4 linked regions of the Astyanax mexicanus genome follow. The protein of the gene in region 1 binds, or shares a complex with, the protein of each later gene. Links are inferred from orthologs where the notes say so. Each region holds a gene or a part of one and is shown in the gene's direction. Other genes may lie near its edges.

Region 1 (7,887 bases):
AGGACCTTAGTGGATTTTACAGGCATCTTTTAAATCAGACAGTGGGGGAGGAGGCTGTTCCTGATCGGAGTGCTGAAAGGTGAGATATGGACAGTGAACATCTAGTGTCATCACTAGTGAAAGTTAAAGCTAAATTAGCTTTAATTGTATGTAGTAGGTTAATAACATGTAATACTGTTCTAGGCACTGAACATCTCTTTATTGCTTTATTGGTTAATGCACTGTTAAAGTTCAAACTGTAAAGAGACCAATCCTGAATTCTGAGTTCGTTACATTTGTGTAGTTGGGGTGAAAAGGATCTCTTCTGTATTTTTTTGGCACTTAACTTTTTACACTTGAAATCACACAAAAACTGTAAAACTTACTACAACATGCCATACTAATGTATGTCCCAGGGCAGAGAAACCCAAGGAGCAGAAGTCCCCAGTTGTGGACTCCCCACCACAAGAAAATGACAGTGAAGACGAACGCCACAGCGATGATGACCAGAAGACTTCAAAATCAGAGTTCAGCAAGACAAGCAGCAACAGCAGCCACTCCAAGAGGCACTACCGACAGAGGTCTCCTTCCTCAGCCAGTGGCGATGAACAAGAGAAGGAAAGGAAACAAGAGAAGGAGAAGAGGAGACACAAAGAAAAAGAGAGGGACAGAGCAAGAGAGGACAAGCATGGTCATCGCAAAGAAGACAAGGACCACAGAGGAGAAAGGGGCCGACATTGGGACAGGGAGGAAGAGAAAGGACGAGAACGAAGGGATGAAGACAGAGGAAGAGAGCGAAGAGACAGGGACAGGGAGAGAGACAAAGAAGACAAGCATGGGAAGAAACACAGAACAGACAGCAGCCCAAAAGAGCGAGCACATGAACGAAATGAAGAAAAAGGGAGGGATCGGGACAGACACAATGAGAGAGACCACCACAAAACAGATGACAAGGGCAAAAGGGATGCAGGAAAAGAGAAGGAAGAAAATACCCAAGCAGATGAGAAGACGAAAGAAAAGGATGCACAAGCTGAAGGTGGTGCTGAAGTTGAGGCAGAACCAGGTCCCAGCAAATTTGCAAAACGCAACAGTGAACAGACTGTGAGCTCTGCCCGGGAAAGATATTTGGCTCGACAGATGGCTCGATCGGCTGCAAAGTCCTACATTGAAAAAGATGAAGACTAAAATGCACACAACTGTGCAGGGACTGTTTCACATATGGTGGATGTTGGTAACTAGACTAACCTGAGGGAAGTCATGTTTCCACTGTAGTTGCCATTTAATTTCAAATTGTACAGTAACTTGTTTGTGCTTATTAAAAAAAAGTATGTGGTTCATTTTCGCTAAAATTCAGTTTTTTTTTTGTCAGAGACTTGGTCTAATTCACAGGGACAGAAGTAAAGAAACCACACTTTTACCCTGTTAAATGTTCATGTAAACGCTGTCAAGTTGGTGTCAAAATACTACTGATGTGCTGCTATTCACCAGCTATAAAGTTTGATCTAAAAAAATGTACATTTTTGTACAGGTGCACAATGTAGTTCATTTGCCTTAATGCGCATATGAGCATTAGTCACATTACTGGATGTGGAGGGTCAGACTTCCCTAGATTTATGCTATACAACTTCTTTGCAGCTTGATAAAAAGAAACTGGACCAGTATCTGCCCATTGTTAATTTCCCTTGGGTTTTCTTAGCTATGTGACCAAGTCCTTAAACTGCAATAGACCAGCATATTCCCCCCTGAAGTAATGAAACCTTAAGGCACACCATTATTTTCACCCTTCCTTTAAAAAAAATCCACCAGAGTAAGGAAGGTTGAGGTATTTCTCAGGCAAATTTGTAGGGGTGCTATTCTAATCTGCAAGGAACTTTTCATTTTGGCCACAGGTGTTATTGTACCGGTTCAATTCCTTGTTTCTTCCTTGAATCTACACCATTTAAAACCTTGCCTACACAGAGCTGGTGTGGCTGCACAGGTTTTTCAGCCAAGCAGATGCAGTTTAATGACTGCCCACCTGATTAAACAAGTTAAATTTGGTGTGCTACTGACTGTTTAGAATGAAGTTTAGAAGTTTTTTTTTCCTTTTACTGAATTATAGCATATAAAAGTAATGAAAAACCTCATCAAGTAATCATTGTATTTGCTCTGGAAAATACTAAAATTCATGGAAAAGCTTAAACCTTCAAGATGAAGAGACACACCAATGGTCAGGTTAACAAGTTTATTTAATTAAAAATTTTATTCCGCATGCCACACATGTACTGTTGCAGGTTTGATTTTCACGTTCTTCCGCTCAACAGCTTTTACTGCTTTGTCCAGTGCCTGAGTGGAAGATGGAAAAAAAAATTAAAACCAAGTACAGAAACCAAATTTAACAGTTAATTAAAATTTCTTAAAACTTCAGAAAACCGAGTATCACCACTGAACAATCTGCCGGTAATTCCAGCTACTCTCAGTTTTGTTTTCATCACAAGTTAACATGAGGCATTTAACAGAACAGGGTTAGCAGTGTACTCACCCCGCCTTACTTAAAATCTTCTTGAATCCTTGGATCACATGGTCCCTGTAAAAATTAACAAGTTGTTAGATTGAGATCACATACTTTTACCTTAAAGTCTGCAAGTGGCTATTGTGTGTTCAGAAAACCGATGATCACCACTGAACCTTCTGCCGGTAATTCCAGCTATTTCAGTTTAGGTTTCATCATTACACCATATCAGGACTACATTTGTTTACTAACTAAATGAATCTCGATTTAATTTCTTTACTACCAAGAATGCTTAAATCCCACAGGGGGGCAGGGATGTAACTACAGCAGTAAAAGTGATAGAAAGACTGCATTAAAAAGTGGGGAAAAATAAAATTACATATCAGGCATTAAACAAATAATTAAATCTTTAATAACATATATAAAAGTGCACATGTAGATGGCATGTTTAATAGTAAATTCTGCAACCTGCAAGTGAACTGTGGACATACTATTAACATAACCTCCATAATTAACCAAATCTTTTAGCCAAAAAACGACTTACCTTATTAACTCATGTAGTAACGAGCAATTGTTTCTTCCAGCACGTGGAAGGAGGTTCTGCCTGCAGTGAATGAAAGGGTGAAATGGTAAACATTAACTAGTACTAGTGACTAAAGGGTTACATTATTAGGTTAAGGTCTCTCAGATTATTTGAATAAATGAAATCGTCAGTTATCGCATAAGACGGCACTTCCTACTCAAAGTTTTCTTCACAGAGACGTGAAAAAACACTAATTTACGAATTAACGTTTCTCACCTTTTAATAATAAGGCTCAAGCCTCAGTTGTTCCTTTCCGCCCTGCACTGTGGTGGATTTGGACATAGTTTATTGTGAGATGCAGGGCTGCAGCACCATACCTATAGGAAACACATTTAAAACAGAAGTTAAGATACCATAGCACTTCTGTAACCGCGTTCAGAACTACAGAAAAGTATCAGTATCGATATTCATTATCGATTATATATGTGAAGAATGTGTAACGTTACCTTGTGCCGCATCGTGCCTCCTTCAGCCACGTGGTTCTCCTGAACTCTTCAGTAACTAGGTTTTAACTAATGTAGTAAGCACAAATTATCTCAACTCGCGCCCATCGAAAGCCATTGTCGAGTGAGATATTTCTCCATTAATGCGTAAAAACTGGAAACACACCCATGGTGTTTGCTTATACAGACTTTAGCCATCTCTGCACTACACTCTTCCTCTCGGAGCCGTATGAGAAAGACTGAATGGCGTCGTCCTTCCAGTTATATCCGAGCCGCCTGGTGACGTTCTGCTCATGTTCCGCTGCGAAGCACACAGATCTACTCCGTAACACCGGATATACGGGATTTTTTAGTTAATTTTATTTTACTTTATTTTAATGTACACATTCTTATATTATAAATACGTATTACATAGAAATTACGTACAAAATACTTATTCAAAGATCAGGCATTACACACAGCAAAAAGTATTAGAAGTAAGACATTTATATAAAATAAAATTATAATAAAAACAAACTACGGTATAACCTACGGTATATTTAGACATTCACCTTTAATTTATTTATGTTCTAAAATAAACAATGTAATTATAAAAGGCTATTTTTAAATCCATTGAAATCAATATATATATATATATATATATATATATATATATATATATATATATATATATATATATATATATATATATATATATATAATACGTTCTAGCATTTAAAACTACAAAAATATATACATCTAGAAAAATGTACTGATGTAAAAGCACAATGGGACATTTAAAAATCGAAATTATTGTGGACAGCATTGCAGAGCATACAGTATTTAATATGATATAATTAACCATATACTATTATGTATTATAACAAAATATAAATGTTAGTAATGATAGATAGTATTGTTCAAATCTAATAAGCCTGTTTATGCATATCTGATTATTAAAAGCATCTTTTTGTGTTTATTACAACCACCAAATCGTTGGAGCATTACGCCACTTAGTTGACTACAAAACATATATAACTTAATATAATAACTATAATAATAATAATAATAATAATAATAATAATAATAATAATAATAATAATAATAATAATAATAATAATAATAATAATAATGGGGGGGCTAATGTTTTATGATTTATTTACTTCATCTAAAGAAATTGCGAATTAAAGATGTATTTATGAATATAACATTTTACAGTAGGAACAAAAGTGTGGATGGTTCCTTTTATGTGTTGTATCTCAAATAAACTAAGAGAAGTCCACTTTAAAACATTCATTCTTTTTATTATCTCAAAGAATCGTCATTATAAAAAATAAATGTATTTATTTTGGATGTGTGGAGAAAATGACAGAAGCGGGGTGGTGACGTCCGCTGATGTGCGGGTCTGACGTAGGTTTGTACTGCTTTAGCTTCGCCTGTCGTTTCCCTCCTTCCACACAGTGTGTTTCTCAACTCACACAAATGCCTGGAATCTGAGGGAACGGCGGAGTTTGGCTGAGAGCGAAATTTGAAGACCCTGAGAGAAGCGCTAGCAGATCCCGCTGAGACGTTCTGAGCCGCTGTGTGTGCGCGGTGAGTGTGTGAGGAGAACTGTTGTAGCTGAGCTGGTTTTCTGAAACTCCGATGCTAACGGCTTAGCAAGCTAAGCTAAACCTAGACTAGCTGAATAGTTAGCCTGCTGCCGCTTCAGCTGTGTGTACAGTTCAAAAGTTGCGCAACATGAGTGTAGTTTACAGCTGAAAATGGGTTCTGCTGAGTATTCGGCGCGTGTTTGTTTATAATTTGTGTGTAAAGCGGGGCAGTGTTTTGTTGTTTATAACTGGAGTTGTTACAGCTCGTTAAGCTAAAAGCTAGCTAGCTGGCTAACTAGCGTTAGCCTCTTCAGTAGCGGCGGCCAGTGTTCACGCACATGATGTGGGAGCCTCTGGCGCTGTGTGTAGCTTCATGTTTTCTCCTCTGTTTACGTTAATTTTCATGTTAACCTGTTTTTATGTGATTTAAACAGTTAAGAAACGCCACAAACATTAAATTACGAGCATTACTGTAGCTAGCTAAGAGTTAGTGTTAACGAAAACAATGTAACTAGCTTAAGCCAGCAGAGAACTGCCTCTGGTCGGCGCATGTTTGAACACACTGGTTTTCTCAGGATAAATCCGGTCACACAGCGAGTTTTACTGAACCAGACTGGTTACAAACTAGCAGGGTGTGTTTTTCACGTGTTGTTTATGTATCTAAAAGCATGCGTTCCATGTTTACTGACTAGATAGCTATTTTAGCTACACACGGGCCCGTTTCCAACATTAGCTAGGCCTGTTTCTGGCGCTCAGGATTATCTGACTAAAGTTTGCGACCAGTTGCTGAAATGTAGGGGTGACCACTATTATAAAATATATTGTTTTACGATATTTAAAGACGTTTTCATTATACAAGATGTTTATCATTATACATTTTATGTATATATTTCCTACTGTGATGTAACTACTAACGTAATATATTTAGTTATTGTGTGTTCTAGGGCTGAAAGGTTAATCAAATTATGTACTGTTTAATACTGTTTTAATAGCATTTTCAAAATGGAATATTTGAGATTTTAAGACTTTACATATAGCAGAGAAAATCTAATTAGATATACATTTATTTCTGCCAGAAACCTGTTAAAAAATGATATTGCAGCGATTTTCATGTTTTACACTTTTTCTTAACTGAAATACAGTTTAGAGTTTAATATAAAAGCTGCATGTAGGGTTGAATTGGGGCTGCTTACTGTTCGTAAAATATGTATATTTAAAAAAAATACATTTAATGTAATGGAAACAATGGCTTCTGATATCCCTAAATATTATCCAAACAAAGAAAAGTTAGGACTGTTCTATTATTGTGACCTTCTTTACAGCGACATTTGTATATTAATTAGCAATCGTGCAATTTATTTTCTATCTATTTTTTATTAATTTGATAATTGGTGATGTTTAGGTCGTCATGGCTTATGCTGTGTCTTTCTGAGCTTTTAGGGACATTTTAATATTCTTTTACTCTGTGATATTTATTGTGATATTTCCTCGGAAATGTACAGAATTGACAATCATTAATAATGAAACATTGCTCAATGCACTTTGTAAAGTAAAGTAAATTATTTCTGGCAGATATCAATTACTTGGTATAAATTTTGGTAGCGATGCCAATTAAAATAATGAGACCGTAATTGTTCCTTTTAAATCACGCAGCGAAAAATGGTTATGTTTGCAGAGTAGAAAAAAGTGTCCGCACCCCTACAATAAGTTATAAACGATGTTTATTGTTATATTTTGACCCAAAAACAAAGGCGTCATTGCAGAAGACTCTATTCAAACTCTATTCTGTTCAAACACTGTTTTAAACACTGTTTCATCGGTAGTATGGTGATATAGTTTCATTTTAAATTCGCTGGACGTTTCCTATTAAACATATCTATTTACACACACTGTAATAAATGTTGGTCAGTTGGTTAGTATTCTGCAAGCACTTAAACCCACAGTATGCTCAGAAAATTTATTTTTTTAACAAAAGTATGATAAAAATAGTATGATAAAAATATTACTGTACTGCCCACCCAGTTGCTCAGACTACCTACTATTGTGTTATTCTGATGCCAGATAACCAGTGCTTTTAATTAGGAATGTAACAGCCAAGCAGGCTTTGAATGCTACAGTGCATTTTCTGACAATGTGATAATAGCTATGTAAGGTTTCATGTGATGATTTGAGAAATGAAAGTAAAATCTTCCTCTGCTGTTAAGTAGCCTTAAGTTATCCTCTTATACTCTCCTTACTTTCTGATGTTTTGAGCACAGATGAGTTGTGTACTGAGTTGAATAATAAGCTGCATGTTTGATCACAATACAAAAACTGACCTTTTATCACACTGCTGTTATTTGTGGCAGACATATGCAGGGTGTATAGCAGTCCAAGATGTTTAACAAATCATTTGGTGCTCCCTTCGGGGGAGGAACAGGAGGATTTGGGACATCATCCACGTTTGGACAACAAAGTAAGTAAACTGTGTAATTAAATATCTTTACTGTGAGTGTCTGGATTTCTTCTCTATGTTGAAAAAAATGTGGTTAGCACCAAGTTGCTAGCAACCAGAGTAAAAACTATGTAGTTTGCCTTTTTCCCCCAACCAAATGTTTGAAAATGAATAAGTCTAATGTTAAAAGCACAAGAGTTCTCACATAATGACTGATTGCATTACTTTATTTGTCTTTGGATATCCTTTAGTCATGACAGCTGCTATTCTATAGGATTTTTCATGAATAAATGCCACACACTAAGATTCATGCAAAGATTGTGTCCAATTATGATGTCAATTGTATCCAGCAGAATAGGTTGTTTTAAAGATTACCTTTTTATAAC
Region 2 (7,739 bases), on another chromosome or scaffold:
TATGATTAATTCACAAGATACTAAAGCAACATGGAAAGTGATAAATCAGATGTTACAAAGGAAGAAAGCTGCTATAGAGGTACCATCAGTTATGTCAGATGGTGAAAATCATTTCAATAATCCATCTGATATTGCTAATCATTTTAACAGTTTAAATATGCAAATATTTAATGCAAATATTGGTTGTGAATTAGTAAATAACATTCCCTATTGTTATGGTAACCCACTGGACTTTATAACCAGAACTTTTCCTGTTATATCTTCTTTTAAATCTGTTGATATCCAAGAAATAAGTGATATAATTGATGAATTAAAGATATCTTCAGCTGGTCATGACAATATTTCTGCATTTCTTGTTAAACAGGTGAAGCATGAAATATTGCAGCCACTAGCTTATATTTTTTCATTATCTTTAAAAACTGGTATTGTGCCATCAGATTTAAAAGTTGCCAAAGTTATTCCAATGTTTAAAGCAGATAACCCATGTTGTTTTAAAAATTATAGACCTATATCAATTTTGCCATGTTTTTCAAAAATATTAGAAAAAATAATATATAAAAGGATTATTTTTCATTTAGATTCTAATTCAGTTTTTTTTACAAACATCAGTATGGTTTTCGGAAAACATCATTCTACTTATATGGCTCTGCTTCATCTGACTGACAAAATTACCTCTGCACTAGAAAAAAGTAAATTTGTTTGTAGTATTTTTTTAGACCTTTCAAAGGCATTTGATACAGTTAACCATCATATATTATTAGAAAAGTTACATAAATATGGTTTTCAGGATACTACATATAATCTTTTAAAAAGCTATATCTCAGATAGAAGGCAGTTTGTTTGTGTAAATGGTTGTTATTCTAGTAGAGCTGAATTGCTTTGTGGTGTCCCACAGGGTTCTATTCTAGGACCATTGTTATTTCTTATTTATATTAATGACTTGTCTAATGTTTCCCCAATTTTTCCCCAATAATGTTTGCAGATGATGTAACTCTAATAAATAGCCATTCAAATTTTGATACATTGATTAAGGATGCAAATACTGGTTTAGCTGCTTATGTAACCTGGTTTAAATTAAATAAACTTGTTTTAAATATAAAAAAGTCAAATTATATAATTTTTAGTGGAAGAAAAATGTATTCTAAAAGCTTATCAAAAATTACAATGGAATCTATGGTGTTGCCTAAAGTGTCAAGTTCTAAGTTTTGGGGAATCATTATTGATGAAAACTTAAGTTGGAAAGAGCAAATAGACTGGGTTAGTAGAAAAATAAATAAATCTATTGGTATAATAAGGAGGGTTAGTTATCTGGTTAACACAAAATGTCTTCTTACTCTTTATTATAGTCTTATTTATCCATATCTTTCATATTGTAATATAGTTTGGGGGAGTACATATTCTACTAGTCTTAGTAAAATTCTGGTTCTTCAGAAACGATTTGTCCGTATTGCAACACGATCACATCTAAACACTTCATCTGCTCCTTTATTTCAGAAACTTCAAATTCTCTCTATTTATAATATTAATATATTCCAAATATGTATCTTTATTTTTAAAATTTATTCGAATCAGGAAAATTTTCCAGAACAATTTATAAATTATTTTATTACAAATGCAGAAATACATAAGTATTCAACCCGTCAGTCTTTAGATCTCCATCTTCCTAAATTTCTCTCTTGTAGAGGTCAGTATTCAATAAGATATAGGGGGACAAAACTGTGGAATAATTTTAATCATTTGGCAAAAAAATGTACATCTGTAAAACATTATGTAAAACAAAAGATGTTTAAAAGATCATCTGATGAATGTATTGTGAATATATTTTTTTGTTACATGTTTAAATTGTGATTTTTTTTTTTGTTTGTTTTGTTTGTTTGTTTTGATGTTATATTTGTTATAATAGATTTTGATATCATTTAGGTAGAGGCATTTTTTGCCTCTACCTGCACTATTTTGTTTATTGCTATTTCCAGTTTGTGTTTATTGTTTTTATTGGTGCAAATAAATAAATAAATAAATAAATAAAAATGTCTTTGTCAAATTAGTTTTTTCCAAGAAATTCTCAAGCATTTCTATTGATCAATCCATCCAGAGTTATATACTCAGTGTACAGATCAGCTAAAAGGTTCAAACGGGGAAGAAAACTAAAAATGGGGGTATGTGGTTTTTATTGGACAGCAGCAGCATACAGAAATACACAAAATACCAAATCTTTGTTTTTGAAAAAAATAAATAAAACATTTTTAAATGAGGATTTGTTTAAATTCTTGGACTTTTAAAATGTTAAATGTTAAAATCACTCATGTGACAATGTGCAGATGTTTGAGCGACTACATAAAGAGTGCAAGAGAACTCTGAGAGTAATAAAAACAAATAAGAAGTAAGAAGTAAATCTTACCTGTGAAATTTATGCTACAGAGCATGTAGAGAAGCCAGATGAGTGCTCTATTTAGACTGATAAAGTTAAATAAATCTTTCGTCAGTGTTAATCCAAAAAATACCTTATACCTGAAAAAACATCAGATATTTGTAAATATATGTTCTACAGGTTGATTGAGATTTTTACTTAATTGGGAAAGTGTAAGGGTTTGATGAAATATATTGTTTGTTTGGCTAGTTGATTAGACTGTACTTCTCAAATAATAACAGCAGAAGGATAGTCAACATTATTAACTTGTGGTAGTTAATCAGGGAAATTCAATATAAAAAGAACTGATTCCAAGTCTGAGCATTTCTATTATTCCATTTAACATATCACTATGCACTTTTCAACAACACTACTGCTTAAAGTACAGTAATATTGACTATACTGACGTACAGTTATTAACCTATGACTGTAGAAAAGTCATTGTAATGCACCCTAATTAGTATTTGAAGACTGTAGAAAATACATTTGTGAAATTTAAAATTGCAACCATGAGCTAGTTAATTTGCAAATAAATACACTGGTGTGAAAAGGTGTTTTCTTTATGATTTCTTATTTTTTTGCATGTTTGTCACTCTTAAATGTTTCAGATTAACAAACTAATTCAAAACAACACAAGTATACAAAATTAAATTAAGGTTTTTATTATTAAGGGAGAAAAAAAATCCAAATCTACATGGCCCTGTGTGAAAAAATGTTTGCCCCCTAAACCTAAAAACTGGTTGTTCCACCCTTAGCAGCTACAACTGCAATTAAGTAATTTCTGAATTTTCTGCATTGTACATTAATAGTAAGGTCAACAAACAAAGTGAACAAACCAGTATATTTTCAATATTTTAGATTATTCAAAGTAGCTCTTCCTGCTTACATGACATGCTTTGCACATCTTGTCATTTTTAGGGGTAGTCAGCTTAATGGGTTTGTTTTTTTTTTTACCTGGAATGGCTTTCAGTTAACAGCTGTGCTGAACTTGTCCAGAGTTAAATCCTTGAATTTCTTGTCTCTTAAGTATGGTTGGTATACAGTCAATAGCCCTATTTGAGGAAAGAACTAATCAACTAAGTAAAGGAAAATTACTTTAAGAAATGAAGGTCAGTCAATATGAAAAATGTCAAGAACTTTGAAAGCAAATCACAAGTTAACAGCACCAAGAGCAAACTATATGCTTTAAAGAGTATATTGGTTTGTTTAGCACTTTTAACTGCGTGTGTAAATGTGTGAATAAATTAATAAAAACACTGAATGAGAAGGTGTGTACAAACTTTTGACTGGTACTGTAGACTTTTAAATTAAAATCTTCTCTATACTAAATGGGGTATGTTTTTTTTTTTTTTTTCGAATTTAGTCTTAAATGTCAAAATTGAACTGGCAAACCCATATACCCTCTAATATACAGGCACGTTCAAAAGGCCCCCAAACATAGCTACTGATGTTCAAATGTAAATTATTCTACTTAATATATTGGTATATTTTTATTTTAGATAGGAGATAGATTGGGACCATATTGTGTATAGCTAACGAGTTTTAAAGTTTTTGAGTTTTTTTTTTTTTAGAAACCTTGATCACAATGTCTTGATTTGTTTTTAAATGACAATGCATAAATGTTTTATTCTTTTAATCCATTATGGTTATAATTTTATTAGTTACTTAAAATAATGGTACCATAGATTTGCTTCCTTCCAAATTCCAGTTCTTGGCTCCAACAACAGCTCACCAACAGGTCTCTGCACACAGTTCTATTCTATCACTTTTAGTGTTTAAAACCTGTAGAAAAATGGAAAGATATAGCTAGATATAGTTGCTTTTTGCTATTTTAGCAAAATTCTGTCTTCTGTCTTTTGAAATTAATGGAAAATCCTGAATGAGTAATTAGATAGGTTTTTTACTTTGAGTTTTTAGCTGTTTAGCTCGATTTACCCAATTCATTGAGGACTCCCTTTGTTTACTATGGTTTCTTGTGTCTCCTTATAGTGTGGATGATAGTCTGGACCATTTACAATGTGTGAATAAATAAATAAATACACTAAATGAGAAGGTGTACAAACTTTTGTACAAAATTTAATTTTAAATTTTAATTTGAACTTTTAACTCATTTAACTGTGTTAAATATACCATTAAAATTTACAATAAGAGGTTTTCTGAGTTAGTTTAAAGTCACAAACATTTATACACAGTTCTACGTTGTACTAAATGTTTTTACACAGTGGGAATGACGTGCGTGTGTGTTTCTTTTTAAAGTACGTTACCGCTTAACTCAGTTTCCCAGCAATCTCCAGTGTGTGTGTGCTGTGAGGTAAAGTGTGTGTGCGTGCGTCGTTATTGGTGTGTGCGCGTGAGAGTGCGCGCGCTGAGCTGACAGAAGAGCGCTCTGAGCGCGAGGCGGTCAGCGCGCAAACTTCACTCAGCCATGGCGGCCACCGGAGGAGGGAAAATTAGAACAAGGAGATACCATATCGCTTCTAAACCTTATGCCAAAGGCAAACAGGTAACTAGACAGCCTGTCTCCGGTACGGGGGAGCTGTTGTGAGCGTGTTGTGCCGCGCTGCTCCAGCGGGTTCGTAGCTGGCTTCGGGTTTTTTGTTTTGTTTAGTAGAGACGGTTTTTCGCGGCCTAGAGACTCGGCTGCCTGGCGAGGCCTGGGCTTTGAGTTCCGGGCTCGGCGGGGGAATGTTAGATGAGCTTCGGCTTGTTTGTCAGCTCTTTGGGGGGAGCAGTGTGTGGTTTGGTGGGCGGCGGTGTGAAGAGAAGTGTGACGCGGGGTGAAGTGTAGTTTCAGAGAGCGGCTAAATTCCAATAAATAGCCGTTTTACATCGAAATGTGTAGCTAGTTTGAGAACTAGTTAGCTGCTAATGCTAATTAGCCTAGCTAGCTAACTAGCATTAGCCGTTAGTATGAGCGTCACCACAGCGCTAGCTAGTGTGTAACTAAACCGCAGAGTCTGTAGAGAAGAGACTGCCCACTTTAGCGTGTTTTCCGGGTTTGCCAGAGCCCAATGAATGGTTTTACATGGGGAAATCTTAGTTCAGTAAATCGTTAATCGTTTATACTGATTTAATATTCTGAAAAGTACTTGTTTTTCAAAACATAGCGATATTAATCGTTTCAGTAGCGGAGACTAAATCAAAATTATAATCTTTTAAACTCCACACAAGACTTTTTTTTTTACAAGACTGTAATAACTTAGGGTTGCTGAAAAAAAAACTGTTAGGTTTGCTAATTTGTTAACTATTTTTGGGGTGCAGATTAGTCAGAAATTGCGGGGTATTTTTAATGTTCTCCTTTTTGTATATTGAAGAAAAATAGGATATCAACGTTTCTAATCTTCTATTTTTTCATTTTGCCCCCTTTCTTGAACTCAAAGGTCAATAAAAGTTTTATTTTTTGCATCTTGTAACTAAAATCTGATTGTGTTACTCAACATTCTTTTGTTACTAGTTGCAAAAATATAGAGTAAAACGTAAGTTCAGTTAGTTTAGTTTTTCTTTTTTCCTTAAGTGTTGATTGTGTGGAGCAGAAATAGAAGTTTTATTAATAGTCTTAAATGTCAAAATTGAACTGGCAAACCCCATGTCCCCTGCAGTATACAGGGACTTTCAAAATGCACCCAAACATAGCTAATGATGTTTAGATGTAAATTATTCTTACTTAGTTAATAATAATATTACTTAGTATATTTGTATATTTTTATTTTAGAACAAATCTGGACACAGAGAACAGGAGATGGAGTGGGACCATATCGTTTATAGCTAACGAGTTTTAAAGTTTTTGAGTAGTATAAAATATCAGTTTCAATTAGTTCAGTTTAAATTAAAACAAAGTTGTTTTTTTAGAAACCTTGATCACAATGTCTTGTTTTCAAATGACAATGCATACATTGATGTTTCAATCGTTTATACTACTGTGGTTATATTTTATTAGTCAATTAAAATAATGGTAGCATAGCTGTGGTGCCCTCCAATGAATATTAAGTTCTTTGCTCACCAAAAGGTCTCTCTGCACACAGTAGCAGAAATGCTAGCACCTTTAGTGTTTAAAACTTGTACAAATATGAAAAGGTATAGCTTGGTTGTCTTTGATTATTGTTTAAGCAAAATTCTTTCTTACTCTTTTAAATTAATGGAATATCTTGGATCAGTTGTTAAACAATTTTTACTTTGAGTGTTGAGCTGTTTAGCTCCATTTACCCCCATTCATTGAGGACTCCCTCGTGGGCTCCTTCTAGCGGTTTGAAGTAATTTTCTGATCTAGCGGAGGAGATGGGGAGTGGGCATGCTCTGCATAAACTGACTCTCCCTGAACTCACATTTAGGCTAGCTAGCAGTCTAGCTAACTAGCAAGTTTGCGGTTGTGTGACAGCAACTGCAGCTAAAACAATGCCTTCTGTAAGATTAATTAACACGTGTATGGTGGGATAAGACGGTAAGATAGCTGGCTAAAAGTGTGAAGCAGACACATCTCCCTCTGTTTGCCGCTCTGGCGTAGCTGCGTTCCGGCTGGAAGGCGGCCAGGGCCCGCACATGGACCTCAACAGCATTAGCTAGCCAGGCTAGTTAGCTTAGCACTTTGTGTAGTAGTCAACCATGTTGACTCGGGTTTGCTCTCTCCCGCCTTGCACTCTCCCTGTACATCTTTACGGGGCTAGAATGCGTCTGGAAACTAGGCATTGCGTTTTTACAGTAAATACAGAAAATAAAAATGCTGTATGTTTGTGTTACTGCGTGTTTTCCAGTCGTGTTGAGCGTTAGGAGTCTCTAGCTGAACCTCCGTTATCCTCAGAAACGCATGTGGTCTCCTGCCAACATGCGCCACACTGAGATTTAGCCTCTCAACTAGCTAATATAGGTAATTTTACAATGTTTCTTAAACGACTGTGCGTTAAAATCCATTTTCTCACACATCGCCTTTTCTTCAGTTCTGTAGCTACAATCCTCCTGGGACAGTGAAGGTGATTGTGAGTTTAAATTGAGTTGCAGATATAGTCAGTCAACTAGTTAATTGTATAATTAAATAAAAACAAGCATGTTTTAGCTCCTGGAAGTGACTATTTGCACCCAGGTACAAGTAGCGTTTGCAAACATAGGGATGATAATTTCACCCCTTATTTAAAACATTTTAGTGTAATATACCCTAATGACTGGGAACATCTTGTTTGCTCTTAAAATATAGGTAACTACCTATGTAGAGTCTGGGATTTTTACATTAGTGTGGGAGCCATTAAATAAAGATTTATCATATGGGTAAACAAGTTCTTTGATTTTAAAATTGTATTCAAACAAATCGTATATTTAGGTGTAAGTGAGTCAAATATATTTT
Region 3 (7,996 bases), on another chromosome or scaffold:
TCTGTTTCAGGATCTTCAGTGAGCTCTGATTTCAAAACTCCTCTCAGGGTGTGTGTGTGTGTGTGTGTGTGTGTGTGTGTGTGTGTGTGTGTGTGTGTGTGTGAGTGAGAGAGAGAGAGAGAGAGAGAGAAGACAAAAAGAAAGAGAGCTGCTTTACTTCTGAAACTTTATCTGAAATGAAATAACTAAGAATACTGAGAGTGAGCAGCTTCTGCTTTTTCCAGCTGATTCAACGGTCAACCCTCAGAAAAACTATTCAGCAAAATATTACCGATTTCCCACAAACTAAAGCAGACCACACAGCTCAACACAGCAGTTAGATCAGACTGGAACTGTGCCTTTAGTTCATGTTTATAGAAAACAGAAACTGCGTCTAACTTGAGTTACTGAAAGTCACAGAACTGGGTGACACAGTAAACGTTTGATCATTATTACAGACGGAAGAATCGACTGGCTATCTATGTGTATTGTCCAATTTTAAGCCTTGTCCTCATAGCTACTAAAAACATTTTCTGAATGTTATCAACTCGACTTTGATTCTTAAAATCTTTAGTTTGTTAAATTCTCTGGGTACACTGTTGCAGCAACAATATGATAACTACATTGGCACATTATCAAAACATTTTTCAGACATATTAATAATACTTAAATGTTATATATCAGTGTATATTTGTATCAGTTAAATCAATGTTTATAAATGTTTTCAGAACATTTAGGGGTATGCAATAATGACCTAAAACAATATTCTTGGCAATATGATGGCAGCCCACTGCTCCAGGTTTGTGTGCTCACTGTATCACTGTTAGAGTTTAGTTTCTCTGCCCGCGCTGGGTCGGCCTGAGATATCCCACCACTTTTCTCAGGCCGGGTCGGGTCGGGCTCCAGAAAATAGTCTGAGACGTAGGCATCTGTTTTTTTAATGCTATTTTTTAATATAAAGCTCTGGCGTGATTATCACAATATAGCTAAGTAACCAAATGAAAAATTATGAAAAATAACAAAAACTGAAATGAAAAAAATATTCTAGTTAACTGAAACTAATAAAAACAGTAATTAAAGAAAAAAAGCTAACTAACTGAAACTGTACTGTGTTTTTATAAAACTGACTAAAATGAATTGGAATTACTGATAGAATACCCTTTGTTTTTTGTGTATTCATAAGCATTGTTTCCACTTCAGCAGTTTTACCACGGGCGGTGTTGGGGCTATTCTGTTCGCGAAGGGAAGCCGGATTCTGCAGGAGGCAAATTTTGGCAGCGCGCGGCACCTCGCGGTCCATGGCGTTAGTTCTTGTTTACAGCGCTTACGTTAACCCTGACATCAGGAAACAACAGGAAACTGCAGAATTCAGTATGGGATTAGAATATGAGCGTGAGGGAGATAAAAGCAGATGTTTCGTAGAGAAACAGGAGATAGAGTATATGGAATAAACTCCACACAGCTAAAGTACATTTGAGAAGCAGCTGAGAGTATCTTTACCTGTGAGTAGCTCATACACCACAACACCCCACGTGGGAGGATGAACTGATAAATCTCTCTCTCTTTCACTCTCTCTCTCTCGCACTCACTCATAGTTGATCATTTTGAAAAATTAGTGAAACCTGTAAAGTTTATTGATTTTTTGAGTTTGTTTATGTGTTTCTCAGATTGATCTCTCTGGTGTGATGTGTAAAAACTAATAAAAAATAGCAAACCCCACTCTAAAAACTAATTAAAACTAACGGAATTGGAAACAAAATAAAATTAAACTACAACGAAAAATTCTAAACATTTATAACCTTGTAAGTAACAAATCAAATTGTTTTAAAAAAGTTGCACCAGTTAGAACGTCATAATCACGCAGCTCTGGGCACACGCAAGCTTCTCCACTTGTCCGCCTTTGACTTGTAGGGCTGTGCAGCTGTTTTTAATAAACATTTTTATTAAATAATAGGTCTATTTTTTGGGCCCAATCTAAGCTCTAATCACCGCGTGTGTGTTTTAAGGGTACTCACTGGTGTGCTCACTGCACAGACGGATTAAATTATATCTGTGCCCAGCATAGTTATGGTTAATATAGTATTATTTTCTCCAGAATTATTTTCTGATTAACTATGTTTGGGCTGTGATTAGAGTTTTACCTGAATTACCATTTTAAATTAAAATGAAATCTTTAAATCATCAAACTGCTGATACAAGCACAAACACACACTTGCATGCATGCCTATGCACATTTCTTAACCTGTTTTATTCTTCCTGCTTGAGGATCAACATAGTGCTGCAGTCGAGGTTAAAGCAGGGGACTAAATCGCTGTAATTAGGTTAATCTTGCAGACAAAGTGTACAAAATGTTTCTCATGTTGAAAAAAATTATATATTCCTCCTTTCTTGGTTGAGGCAGAGAGAGGCTAATACTGGGAAAGTCTAATATCAACAGAGAATAATGAATGGCCTCACTAATCAGGCGTGGCATATTCTGCCCACACAGCTCTCTCTAATGATGGTCTGGAAATAAACACTGATATTTTAAATTATTATAATAACGCAATTTACTTTGTTCTGTTTAACTCGTGTAACAGTGTTACGGTGTTGAGCTGCTAGAAAGCCTTGTTGAAGTGAAATCCCCTACTTTGACAACTGTCCACATCTCTCCACAATGAGTTCCAAGAAAGCTATTTAATTTTTTACATATTATGTGGTATAAAATTTTAAAAGTTTATTTCAGCCTGAATCACTCTTTTACAATTCCAGCCTGATAAATCCTGGCATTGTCATCTTGGAATATGCCCGTGCTATCAGGGAAGAAAAAATCCATTGATGGAATAACCTGGTCTATATTCAGTATATTCAGGCAGTCAGCTGACCTCATTCTTTCAGCACATACTGTTGTTGAAACTAAATCTGACCAACAACATCATCAACCCCAGATCATAGCACAGGCTTGTACAGTAGGCACTAGGCATGATGAGTGCATTACTTTAGCCGACTCTCATCCTACCCTGTTTCATAACACCACTTTTAACTTTTTAAAATGTTTACACAGCATAAGTAAGTAAGTAAGTGCGTGTGTGTGTGTGTGTGTGTGCGTGCGTGCGTGTTAAATAAAGGAACTGAGAGTGTTGAGCTTGTGGCGCTCATTAACAAACATGTATGTCAAGGGTTTGAGTCTCTTTCATTTTCTTTCAACTCTTGATTCCTTAGAAAATGATTCAGTGCCTCATACAGTTCCAACTAATATGGTTTTAATTTACATAATTGATTTATAAATGGGTCAGTTTCTAAGGATTAAGCACAGTTGTAAACATGCCTTAAGGTGTGTAACAGCACAGGACAATTTTCGTATTTTCTTTTTTTTTTTTTATTCTACACACGTTTTTCTATTGAGGACAGGTCAGGACTGCAGTACCCTTGTCAGAATAATTACATTTCATTACATCATCTAAATCATATTTTTTGTATCCTTTTGTCCAGATAATTTCTTCAAGAAAAGATTTTAAATTGTTTCCCCTGACCATCCCAGATGCCTCTCAGCCCAGAGTAGTCAACACGCTTCTGAACATGGTCCACATAAGGCTTCGGCTATAGAGATATACTTGCTGTTATTTTTATGTATACTAGAAATGGACCGATAAGCGTTTCTGGGGCCGATTCCAATCGCCGATCGCTGATACCCATATTGGGCGGAGGCAAATGCCACATTAATGCCACACAGGTGCCAGGCAAACCTGGTACAGATTCCCCTAATATTACCTAAGCAAACACTGGTAATTTACGCTGATAGTAAATAAACACAAGAGTGTTACTGACCAAAATAAACACTTTTCAGGAGAGAAACAAGTAATGTGTAAATATTTAAAAGACACCAAAATTTTTATATTTATACTTCAATACCGCAGGAATGTGTCTCCCAACATCAGCCGCCTCAGCCTGTTTTGTCAGCTTACTGCTTAAAATATCTCACTTACTGTTAATATATAGATAATAATACAATATTTTAACAAGAACAACAGTAATCCATCGCTCCAGCTAGAGCTTAGATTGGGAAAAAAAATCCAGCCTGACTCTGTCTGCCCTCATAAACTGTAATTAAGAGCACAGACCTGATTTAAACTCCATATTCTTAGTAAGTAACATTACAGCAATAAAACAGAGCTTTTAACTAAATTCACAAATAGTTGGAAAGAACAAAATCTGTTTTAATGATGTTAATAAACATCACAGTGACAGCGCTAGTCACAGTTTCACCGCAGCGAGGGGCGAAGACGTGAATTACTTATCTAACCAGCCTTTACTGATTTCTGCCCCCAATAACCCTTTCAATAACCTCCAATAGCCTTTAATAGTCTTCAGTAGCCTTCAACAGTCTAACCTGGCGGCGTGTCCACTAAACTCCGTAGTTATAAACATCCTGAGGTGAGCAGCGCACTAATTTATAATGTAATCCGAGCAGTGACTCCGTGACGGATGCTCTAAACTGCTGCTGTTAGTTTGTGAGCTCACTGGTTGGGCAGAAAGATGGACTGTAGAGAGCTGTATAATCTGGTTAGTGGGATTAAAACCTTTATTTCCTACAGAGATGATCTTAAGAAAACTGAAAAAAACTCCAGACTGGCTGAGCTCTGTAGCCCGTGGCTGGTCTGTAGCTCTGACTGAGTGAAGAGAGCGGGGTTTGTGCTGCTGCTGCAGCTCCGACTAGTAAGCGAGCAGTTTCACCACCCAACCACACACAGCACTGCTTAACTGCTTAACCTTAAACTCCTGAATCGGATCGGCTAAAATCTGAGGAATATACGCAGAAACCGTATTTTGGCTGAAAATCGGCCGATACCGATACACCGCCGATCGATCATCCCATCTCTAATGTATACACATGATGGCTGCCTCACATATTCTGCGTTCGCTTGGAGCGATGGTTTTGAGCATCTTCAGAAATTAATGTGATGCGTTCAGGAGGTGCAGTACACACACAACCACTAGGAGGCAGTGCAACACTCAGCAGGTCCTAAATGGCAAAAAGTTTTAAGGAGCAGCTGTGTGAGCAAATGCGAAACTACCCGCATCAGTACGACCTGTCCTCATCACAGCACAGTGACAAATATGCTATGCAAAATAGCTGCCGGCAGGCAAGTAGTGAAAGGTTTTAGATTGACATATTCAATCTCCAAACTGCATGCATTTTACTTGCTAAAGAGGACACTGGAATCCCAATGTTTAATGTCAACCTCAAATTTTTTAGTCTACAGCAGAAATAAAGGGACTGGTTCCAAAACTTTTGGAGCAGACTGCTTTGCAAAGTAAAGTGGCATTGTGTATTTAATGATTAAAGCTTAAGCTTGTGGTCTTGCCCTTTAACACCAGAATTTCTCCTGGGTTTAATTATATTATTATTACCTCATTATTAGACCCAAATTGGATTGTCCCAACTTTCTTTGTAATGTGTTGCAGGCCTGAAATGCAGAAATGGATGTATATAAATGAAAATGTAAATGAAAGAAGCACTGCAGTGATGATTATACTTTTGTCATGAGTTGGGGTGAGCCTGCATCCTTCTGACCTTAACAACACTCGTCATTAAATACAATCAAATCAGTTCATCCAACAAAAAGATGAACTCTTATTTAATACACTTGTTTTTTAAAGAGACAACAAATAACCTAATGTCCCAATTAGTGGTGCAGTAAAAAATCGTTTCGAGCTCGAATTGCGATTCCAACATTGAACGATTCAGAATCGTTTCTCGTTTTCAAAAAAATGTTTTGGGGGTGAAGCGACAGTAGGTGAGCTCCGCGGTACAGTTAAAAAGCTCCGCATGACAGTATGTCAGCTTCGCGATACAGTTTAAAAGCTCCACACGACAGTAGGTCAGCTCCGCGGTACAGTTAAAAACCTCAGCGCGACAGTATGTCAGCTCCGCGGTACCGTTAAAAAGCTCCGCGGTACAGTTAAAAAGCTCCGTTCGACAGTAGGTGAGCTCCGCGGTACAGTTAAAAAGCTCCGCGGTACAGTTAAAAAGCTCCGTTCGACAGTAGGTGAGCTCCGCGGTACAGTTAAAAACCTCAGCGCGACAGTATGTCAGCTCCGCGGTACCGTAAAAAAGCTCCGCGGTACAGTTAAAAAGCTCCGTTCGACAGTAGGTGAGCTCCGCGGTACAGTTAAAAAGCTCCGTTCGACAGTAGGTGAGCTCCGCGGTACAGTTAAAAAGCTCCACGGTACAGTTAAAAAGCTCCGTTCGACAGTAGGTGAGCTCCGCGGTACAGTTAAAAACCTCAGCGCGACAGTATGTCAGCTCCGCGGTACCGTAAAAAAGCTCCGCGGTACAGTTAAAAAGCTCCGTTCGACAGTAGGTGAGCTCCCCGGTACAGTTAAAAAGCTCCGCGGTACAGTTAAAAAGCTCCGTTCGACAGTAGGTGAGCTCCGCGGTACAGTTAAAAAGCTCCGCGGTACAGTTAAAAAGCTCTGTTCGACAGTAGGTGAGCTCCGCGGTACAGTTAAAAAGCTCCGCGGTACAGTTAAAAAGCTCCGCGGTACAGTTAAAAAGCTCCGTTCGACAGTAGGTGAGCTCCGCGGTACAGTTAAAAAGCTCTGCGGTACAGTTAAAAAGCTCCGTTCAACAGTAGGTGAGCTCCGCGGTACAGTTAAAAAGCTTTGTGCAACAGTAGATGAGCTCCGCAGTACGGTATGTTGCAAAAAGATTTAATACAGTAAGGATCCTAAGTTTATTGTTTTAAAAAAAACTTCTATTTTTTTTAATTGTCCTTTCATCTTTTTATCTTCTCACATAATTTACACAAAATGTATAGGCCATTTGAATAAAAAAATCGTTCAAGAATCGAAAATCGTTTCTGAATTTCGAATTGTGACCCCAAAAATCGGAATCGAATTGAATCGAATCGCCAGTCACTGAGAGATTCGCACCACTAGTCCCAATACTGTATTTAGGGTGCATTCACACTTAGCTCAACAAGTAATGGGTGAGGGAGCATAAGCCACAAAGTTTTGTTCAATCAAAAGATGCAAAAGATGTGGCCATCTTAACCATGGTCCGGATTGTCTGCAATATGAACACTTTTCTAGATGGTTTGGACTTTCAGACCAAAAACAGGAAGATAAGGCAGACTGTAAACAAACCAGAAAAAAACAATTGGTGCTGTGCTGAAAGGATGTGAGGAGGAGTCAGATTCTGACAAAGAGCTAGAATTCATCACAACACCTGACAAAGGAACGCTCCATCTCTTTACTACAATTCTACAAACCAATGCACCTTACTCACTCTGCGGCCATGTTGAAACAAAAGAAGGGCTGTGGGTTCGCTCCTAAACCGGAAATTCCAAGGTAGCAACGGAGCCAGCAGTTTAAATGGCAGCGCCTGTGTGGACAACTAACCCTGCACACCTCCCTGAATTAACGGTGAAATCAGAAATAGTCCGAAAATGAGTGCAAGATTTCCCTGGGTTGTTTCAATAAAAGGCTCCAGAAACTGGATTAATTGTTAGGTTCATGATGTGGAAGCTAGGTAATCGCCTTTGTTTGCTGTATAAAAACTCATGTGTTAGCTAGTTTGCTAGCTAGTTAGTAAATAATTTAGTGACTGGTGAAAAATACCCTGCAGTATGTCTAACTACAGCCCTCCTGACAGGCTTCACTGATCTTTCCAGGCAAATAAGGTGGGCACAGCATACTTTATAAACTTTCGCATGCCAGCCAGTGTCTTAAAGAAACACTATTTCATAAAGTATTTTTAACCTTACTTTTGTTTCCACCGTTAATCTGTAATATCAAATCAGACATAAAATTATTGTTAACATGAACGTGAAATGCCAAATACAGTCCAGCTAAGCATGCAAGTGTACACGCCTGTAAGATCAGGTTCCCCACAGTAGGATATTGTTTAGCTAGCTAGCTAAGCAGGCTATTCTAAAGAGCTATGGCTGGACTAACGCTACCCCTCACTCATTTTGACATTAAACCAAAAAAATAACCAGTTCAGGGTAAATTAAGTCATAGTTAAAGAATCAGG
Region 4 (7,504 bases), on another chromosome or scaffold:
AAACAACAACATTTAGTCAGTTTAGCAGTTTATTTCAGAAGAAACTGAGACCTGTGGGGCAGAATAATATGCAGATTAACTCTTTTTTTATCACATTGTTTTGAATTCTGTGGCCTTCATACAACACATGATGAACAGTTCAGATTTTGTGCTGCAGTTTTTCTCCTCCTGATGGGATTTGATTGGATGCGCTGTGTGTTGTGTTTGCATTTTCCTGTTCGAGAGATTTCCTTCCTTTTTATTATGTTTGATGAAAGTGAGCGAATTTCAGCGTATCAGAACTCTTCCTCTTCACACTCTGATATTAATGCAATTCCAGGAGGATAAAGATGAAGTGATGATGTTGAAGAAAGATAATGTTGAGTATTTAATGCGTGTGGTAATCAGACGTACGTTCAGTCCTGCGGGTGCATAGCTATCGGATATTGACTCGTGTCTATGCTACCTCACTTCCTGCTTCAGGGGCTGAAAAAAGGGTCTAACCTGATTTAAGCTTCTCTTAAAATTCTAGAAAAGGTGCAATATATGTATTTGTTTGTTTGTGAGTCTTTTTACAGTTTTGTATATTTTGTATGTTGCTGACTTTTATATATAATTTTGTAGTATGGATGTATGTATATTATGCCAAGATCAATGTTCTGTTGTCAGTTAAATAAATAAGCTTTTCTACTGAATTAGTATTATTATTGTTTTATTTAAAGTTTGTTTGGTGCAATAAATAATTAACCATTGTTTGTAACTATTGATGAAGTAATTCAGAGTATTTACACAAGTTGATGTTTTAACTTTTTGGATGAAGTTTTACCAGCTTGTGAGGTTTATTGAGGGAATTATATACATTATGGTGCTTTTTTACACACAGGATGTGGTTTATAGGACCAGGTAATGTTTCTCTGAGCAGAATAAGGGGCTTTACTTGCGTTCCTCCACCCTGTAGAGGTGAGTTTACCTGAGGATCAGACTGAACACAAGGAGGTTTTTGTTCTGAGTGACTGAAGGAGCTCAGACTCTGGTGTTTCTGGTGGTTCTGATCCGGAACAGCCCTGGACAGGCAGTTCCACATGAATCACTCTTCTATAAAGATGATGCGGTTTGAGTCCACAGCACATCAGGTTTCTCATTTATAACACAACTTTAAATAAAGATGACAGTTTTGGGCAGTTTGTTGAAACAGTTGTTAAAATCTCTATATTTAGATTTACAATAGTTTAAATTACATCAGTTACATTTACCTCATTTAGCTGATTTACAGGGTTATTTCTGTTTAGTGTATTAATGTACAGTAAGTTACTGTAGCAGAGCAGTGTCAGTATTTACAGCATCAGTCAGCAGGTTCAGTCTGAGTGTAGAAATGCAGTATATTCAGTATTATGTAATAGAACTAATATAACTGATGTAACTGATCTATAAATGGGTGAAGAACACTTTCGTAACTGTAACCAAAGATCACATCTCTAGAGGTGGGGGGTGGGGGGGGGGAGGGGGGGGGGTTGGCTGTGTAACGGGAGACGGCTGGACCGGGCGGACCGGGCCGGTTCAGTTCGGGTCTGAGCTGTTAGTGTAGCTCGCGGTGCTGCCAGAGGGGTCAGACCCGATACACAACACCCTGGATCCGGTTCTGCTGAGTCAGCGGACAAGCCACGCCCCCACCGAGGAGGCGTGACAGACAGGAGTACCCAACCTGCATCTCTTACATTCCAGCTCCTACAGTAACATCAGCTTTACACTGAAAAATTAGCAAGTAAAATTTAGTATATCACTGCAGGACATGATGATGATGATGATGATGATGATGATGATGACCGGTCAGTTTCTTTATCTGTATTATGTGAGAACAGTATCGGACTCTGTAGCAGAACTGTGGGCCCGGTGTTCTGGTTCTGGTCGGGGTTCAGACCGGAACTCTCCCTCCTGTTGTTTATCTCAGATCAGCTACTGTTCCTCCCATAAACAGGATCAGTCTGAACTGGTCTGAGAACAGCCGGCTGGAGGGAACCCAACCCCCCGGATCCTCAGCACCACTATACCAAATATTTTATCAGGGCAGATCAGGGTTCAGTCCGGCCGCCATGACTAATGTGTGTGTGCTGGTGGTTCAGCAGTTTCTGGGTGTAAAGATCCACACGGTGCCGTTAATGATGGGACGGGTGACCCTGGGTCCGGCGGGGAGCGTCAGCAGTTTCCTCTCCTCACCGGATTGTAAAAACTTCCACCTGAGTTACAAATACCTGTAAACCAGACCCTGACGTCACGACCGATCCGACCCGACCCGACCAGCGCCGCCGGGGGAACCAAGCTCAGTCTAGAACCTCAGTGTTAAACACGCTGTTTACCTCAGTCTGAGTCAGAGAGAGAGAGAGAGACAGAGAGAGAGAGAGAGAGAGAAACACAGAGAGAGAGAGAGAGACAGAGAAAGAGAGAGAGAGAGACAGAGAAAGAGAGAGAGAGAGAAACAGAGAGAGAGAGAAAGAGAGAGAGAGAGAAACAGAGAGAGAGAGAGAGAGAGAGAGAGAGAGAAACAGAGAGAGAGAGAGAGAGAGAGAGAAACAGAGAGAGAGAGAGAAACACAGAGAGAGAGAGAGAAACACAGAGAAAGAGAGAGAGAGAGAGAGAGAGAGGCTGGTTCTGTTTCTACTCTCTAAATATAAAAAAATATCTCCCCCCCACATATAGTATATTTGAATATAGAGTCATTATTTTATAGAACATTATATGGTTATAATTATGATAATAGAGAATATTATTATATTACATAGCCAACATAAATGTGTCACTTATTGCAACATATGTATGTGATGTATATTCAAACATATTATTTTAATCATATACAAACATAGCTGTGTAACATTTTCCCTGACATGCCAAAAGTCATGGGACAGAAACATAACTTGTGTTCCATGACTTATGGCATATCCCATGTGGAGCTAAAAAGGAAAACTCTTCATGAACATGAACTGCACACTGCTGTCCCATGAGTTTTGGCCGGTCAGTGTATTTAAATATAAGTGAAGATTAGATATTTACATATAATAATAATGTATTTGTGCTGTAGATCAGTGGGAGGGGACGGGGGCGGGAGCTGCAGCAGGTGGACGGCTGTGTTTATATTTATGCTGTATTTTTAGTGTAACTGAAGAAATACTGAAGTCCAGCTGTAGCAACACTCCTCTCATTTACATAACCTCTGACCCCGCCCCCTTCACCTCCCAGCAGGACAACAAAAACCAGAGCATCAGGTCTACTCCCACAACCCCCCACTGGATCATCCCCCTCCCTCCCTCCCATCATCCCACAGCTTCCACCAGCGAATTACACTGTAGAATAAAGTCATCAGAACTGTTATTAATTAAATCATTTACATAATTAACACAAAATAAACACAAAAACACAGAATCTGAGGGCTGTTTTCAGATTGTAGGAATCGTGTAGGATTACTAAAGCTGTGGGCTCCAAGTGGTCCAACGGTCTAGGAGATCGCTGGTTTGAATCCCGCTCATGTAGCTTGCCATCAGCTGCCGGAGCCCTAAAAGAGCACAGTAGCGCTCTCTCTTTCCCCTCAGTACTCCTAGGGTGATGTGGATCAGCACAAGGCTGCGTCTGTGAGCTGATGTATCAGAAACAAGTTGCTGCGTTTTCCTCCGAGCGTTAGCACTGTGATGCTACTCGGCAATGCTACAGCATCAGCAGCAGCTCAAAAAGAGGCGAGGTCTGACTTCACATGTATCGGAGGAGGCGTGTGCTGGTCTTCTTAACCCTCCTGGCGTTGGAGCATCACTAGTGATAGGTGGGGGGAGTCCTAATGAGTGGGTTGGGTATTTGTCCGTGTAAATTTAGGAGAAAATGGGAAAAAATTGAAATAATTTGTAATAAATAAAGGATCACTAAAGCTTTGTTTTTTTGTGTTCTCAGTATCTGCTGTTATCTTCACCTCCTGAATACTGTTTTATTAATCACTGCACTGACTGTTGGAATAATGCATATTTTTACACATTTCTATTTATCGTATTAATCTGTCTAAATAAATACAATTTGAAATGTTTGTCATATATAAAGAAATACAGGCTGTTTTTATTATGTGTGTTCTATCTCTCTATTGGTCAGATATTATCTTTAGGTTTATGGCGCTCCCCAGTGGTCATTAGTGTAAACTGCATTAGATCTGATGGACATGATTATTCATAAACTGAAATTACAGTTCGGTCTGATTTTATAGCTTTAACCACAAGACTAATTTACTACAACAAAACATTATTACTGTGATTTTTTTTATATTAAACATTTCATTTCATATTAAAGACTATAAAGCTCTACAGGAAAACATGCTGAATTATTTTAATAATAAGCTCCAGCTCATCCCAATTAAATTACTCTCAGTTCATCAGGTTTAGATCAGGGGATTAATGTGGAGCAATAACTAAATAAAAAACTATGTAAAAAATAAATTATTTTTTACTGTTTACTACAGAATTATATACGTGTCCCGCAATCGTTTTCTTCTCTTATATTTATTCTATACATTTATTTTAGTTATATATTAGATACAGATATAATAGATAAAACAAAATTAACGTTTCTGTTATGAAGAACTTGTATGAATATATAAATGTATTGTATCTATATAACATCATAACTGCAACTGTTGAGGAGGTTAACTTAACAGACCAATCACAGCGTAGCGTCGCGATGACATCACAGTGTTTGTAGCCTAGTAACCCGGATGGTGGGAATAGAGCTGCAGCTAGCTCCCTAAAGCCTCCTGAATTAAACTAAATTTATAAATCCGCTGATTAATCTGATCATATTATCGATCCAGGGAGATGAGCTTGTCGATCAGGTAACGCTGATGAACTCTGGGTCTCACTGAATCCGCGGGAAACGGATCTTTAATTCATTCAGCCGATTTAAACCCTGATAACTAATCCCTGCTAATGCTACTGAGCTAATGCTAATGCTAATGCTGCAGCTAATGCTAATGCTACTGAGCTAATGCTAATGCTGCAGCTTGTGCTAATGGTGAAATCTGTGTTTATAAATTATATTAATATATAATAAATGTGTTAAAGTAAATCACACTGTTAGATCAGAGCTGTATCTGATTATCTGATATTAAAGCTTTTAGTCTGAGTTTAATAATAATCTGAATTTTACAAGATAATCTGAGTTTATATCAGTTAAATTTACTGCATCTGATTTTGATTAATAAATATAAAGCTGTGTTTAATTTGTGTTAAAGGCCGATATTAGCTGTGTGTTAATTCTGTTAATCAGATTAATTTACTGGTTTCTCAGAAAGAAAAACACTCAATAATTATTACTTTAATTTACACAAATTACTGTGTAAAATGTGAAAAAATTTGACTATTAACAGACTTTTTTCTTTGTTTTTATTTTAGGGTTCCTTATATGTGACACACTTTTAATGAAATTAATCACACATAAACAAATGAAATAGGTCATTTTACCATTACACATATGAATATTATATTTACCCAAATTGAATAATGGCATTAATTACAAAAAGCTTTGACTTTTTAATACGAGTTTAATTCTGAGCTGTAATCTCCTGCAGGACTGAACTACCCGCTGATAAAACGAAGCGCAAGAAGAGGAGAGAACTGACTGAAGAGCAGAAGGATGAGATAAAGGAAGCGTTTGAACTGTTCGACACAGATAAAGATAAAGAAATCGATTATCATGAACTGAAGGTGAGAAATTTATTTATCTTCATCTTCTAGTCCAGTTTATTATCTCTGTTATTCCTGAAACATATTAAATATATCAGAACATGGTTAATATGGTTTACGTTTGTGAGCAGGTGGCTATGAGAGCTCTGGGCTTCGAGGTGAAGAAGGTGGATGTGCTGAAAATCCTAAAAGATTATGATCGAGAAGGAACCGGAAAAATAACGTTTGAAGATTTTAGAGAAGTTGGTGAGTTCATGTTTTGTGAGAGTAACACATTTATCTGGGGGATATGTGGGCGGAGCCTTCTCGCCTCAGTTCAGAAGGACAATTCACGATCGTCATGTATAATTATTATTTTGTGTTTACAGTAGTTTATTCTGGTTTTTGTATATTTAGTATTTTTGTTTGTATTTATGGTAATTTATTGGGGTTGTGGGCGTTTCTCAGTGACAGACAGGATCCTGGAGCGAGATCCTAAGGAGGAGATCCTGAAGGCGTTTAAGCTGTTTGATGATGACGAGTCGGGGAAGATCAGTCTGAGGAATCTGAGGCGAGTCGCGCGAGAGCTGGGGGAGGACATGAGCGACGAGGAGCTGAGAGCCATGATCGACGAGTTCGACACCGACGGAGACGGAGAGAGTGAGTATTTACATATTTACACTGAAAATCTGCACTTTTACTTCCTTCTAAAAGACAGACGGACAGACAGACAGGTCTGTTCTGTTATTATTAAAGACCTTCTGACAAATAATGAATTATGAATAAATCTGTAAGAGCGTTAACTGTCTCTCTCTCTCTGCAGTTAATCAGGAGGAGTTTGTCTCTATAATGACGGGAGATTCCTGAAGAGCTGCTGTTGAGATGATGACTGACTGAGATGATGTTTTTTATCTCAGTGTTTTGGTTCAGATTTCCTGTTTTCTGGGATTGTTCAGTTTTCTATTTGTATATAATGAAATAAATCATTTTATTACTGTGATTAGTTTATATTAGATTATCTTGTTTTGTAGATACAGGACTATAAATCATAGTAAATACTGTCTGCATTGTTTTTCAGCAGGTAAAGGAATTATGGGATAGATCTGAACGGTGATTTCAGTGGTTCTGATTGATGTTTTGTGTATTTGTTTACTGCAGGAGTGTAACAGTCAGACAGTAAATAGTACATTATTTGTATTTTGTTTATTTATAAGGCAGTGCAGTGTTTTTGTCTATACATATTTTTTAGAATTTCATAAATTAAACATAATTTTTTCCCCCATTTTTTATGTACAGTAAAATCTGCTCTGTGTTCTTGAATAAAGTTTTGTAGGTTAATTGATTAGCATTGTCCTGTTCTGTACAGTGAGGTATTCTGTTTACTCACTATTAGCTTTATTTTGTGGTGTAAAAAATACATCAGTGTGATTTAGTATTATGTTCATATGAAGTGATTAAAGTGATCATACGGTTAAATAATAATAAATAGCAGATGTTTCATTAGTTTCCAGCAGGGGGCGACTCTCCCGTGTTCATTACATTACTGTCCTCATTTACTCTCAACTACAGGTCACCCATCACATTAATAACATAACAAATAACATCACATATTACATTATAAAACTTTAATCAGAACTCTAATAAAAAGAAGCAGAAAATATTGAAGGGTCAGATCGCCCGCTGTAGTGTCACCTGCACAGAGTCTCACCCTATTGGCCTCACCTGACTTCCTGCAGCCCGACATCACTTCCTGCCCCTGAGTATAGAATGGGCCTGACTTGAGTCCCAATATCTTACAGACTAACCAGTCTAACAATTAATTAATCAATCTATTATTCTGT

The links.
Region 2: nup98 (region 1) and nup153 share a complex: the UniProt entries of both Homo sapiens proteins name them as parts of the nuclear pore complex. The link is inferred for Astyanax mexicanus from reciprocal best matches to the Homo sapiens genes NUP98 and NUP153.
Region 3: nup98 (region 1) and nup160 share a complex: the UniProt entries of both Homo sapiens proteins name them as parts of the nuclear pore complex. The link is inferred for Astyanax mexicanus from reciprocal best matches to the Homo sapiens genes NUP98 and NUP160.
Region 4: nup98 (region 1) and cetn3 share a complex: the UniProt entries of both Homo sapiens proteins name them as parts of the nuclear pore complex. The link is inferred for Astyanax mexicanus from reciprocal best matches to the Homo sapiens genes NUP98 and CETN3.

Annotation. Positions count from the first base shown.
Region 1 is NC_064424.1:13,491,144-13,499,030, reverse strand, and holds the start of nup98 (nuclear pore complex protein Nup98-Nup96), read left to right. Parts: upstream 1-4,887; 5' UTR 4,888-5,068; intron 5,069-7,415; 5' UTR 7,416-7,443; coding exon 7,444-7,522; intron 7,523-7,887. Other genes in the region: nsrp1 (nuclear speckle splicing regulatory protein 1), read left to right, coding at 1-79, 396-1,164. UniProt on the Homo sapiens protein: Plays a role in the nuclear pore complex (NPC) assembly and/or maintenance. NUP98 and NUP96 are involved in the bidirectional transport across the NPC. May anchor NUP153 and TPR to the NPC.
Region 2 is NC_064410.1:52,285,147-52,292,885, reverse strand, and holds the start of nup153 (nuclear pore complex protein Nup153), read left to right. Parts: upstream 1-4,726; 5' UTR 4,727-4,832; coding exon 4,833-4,910; intron 4,911-7,739. UniProt on the Homo sapiens protein: Component of the nuclear pore complex (NPC), a complex required for the trafficking across the nuclear envelope. Functions as a scaffolding element in the nuclear phase of the NPC essential for normal nucleocytoplasmic transport of proteins and mRNAs.
Region 3 is NC_064417.1:10,773,329-10,781,324, forward strand, and holds the start of nup160 (nuclear pore complex protein Nup160), read left to right. Parts: upstream 1-4,985; coding exon 4,986-5,102; intron 5,103-7,996. UniProt on the Homo sapiens protein: Functions as a component of the nuclear pore complex (NPC). Involved in poly(A)+ RNA transport.
Region 4 is NC_064427.1:165,846-173,349, reverse strand, and holds cetn3 (centrin-3), read left to right. Parts: upstream 1-4,683; 5' UTR 4,684-4,817; coding exon 4,818-4,834; intron 4,835-5,569; coding exon 5,570-5,705; intron 5,706-5,815; coding exon 5,816-5,930; intron 5,931-6,131; coding exon 6,132-6,323; intron 6,324-6,486; coding exon 6,487-6,530; 3' UTR 6,531-7,001; downstream 7,002-7,504. UniProt on the Homo sapiens protein: Plays a fundamental role in microtubule-organizing center structure and function. As a component of the TREX-2 complex, involved in the export of mRNAs to the cytoplasm through the nuclear pores.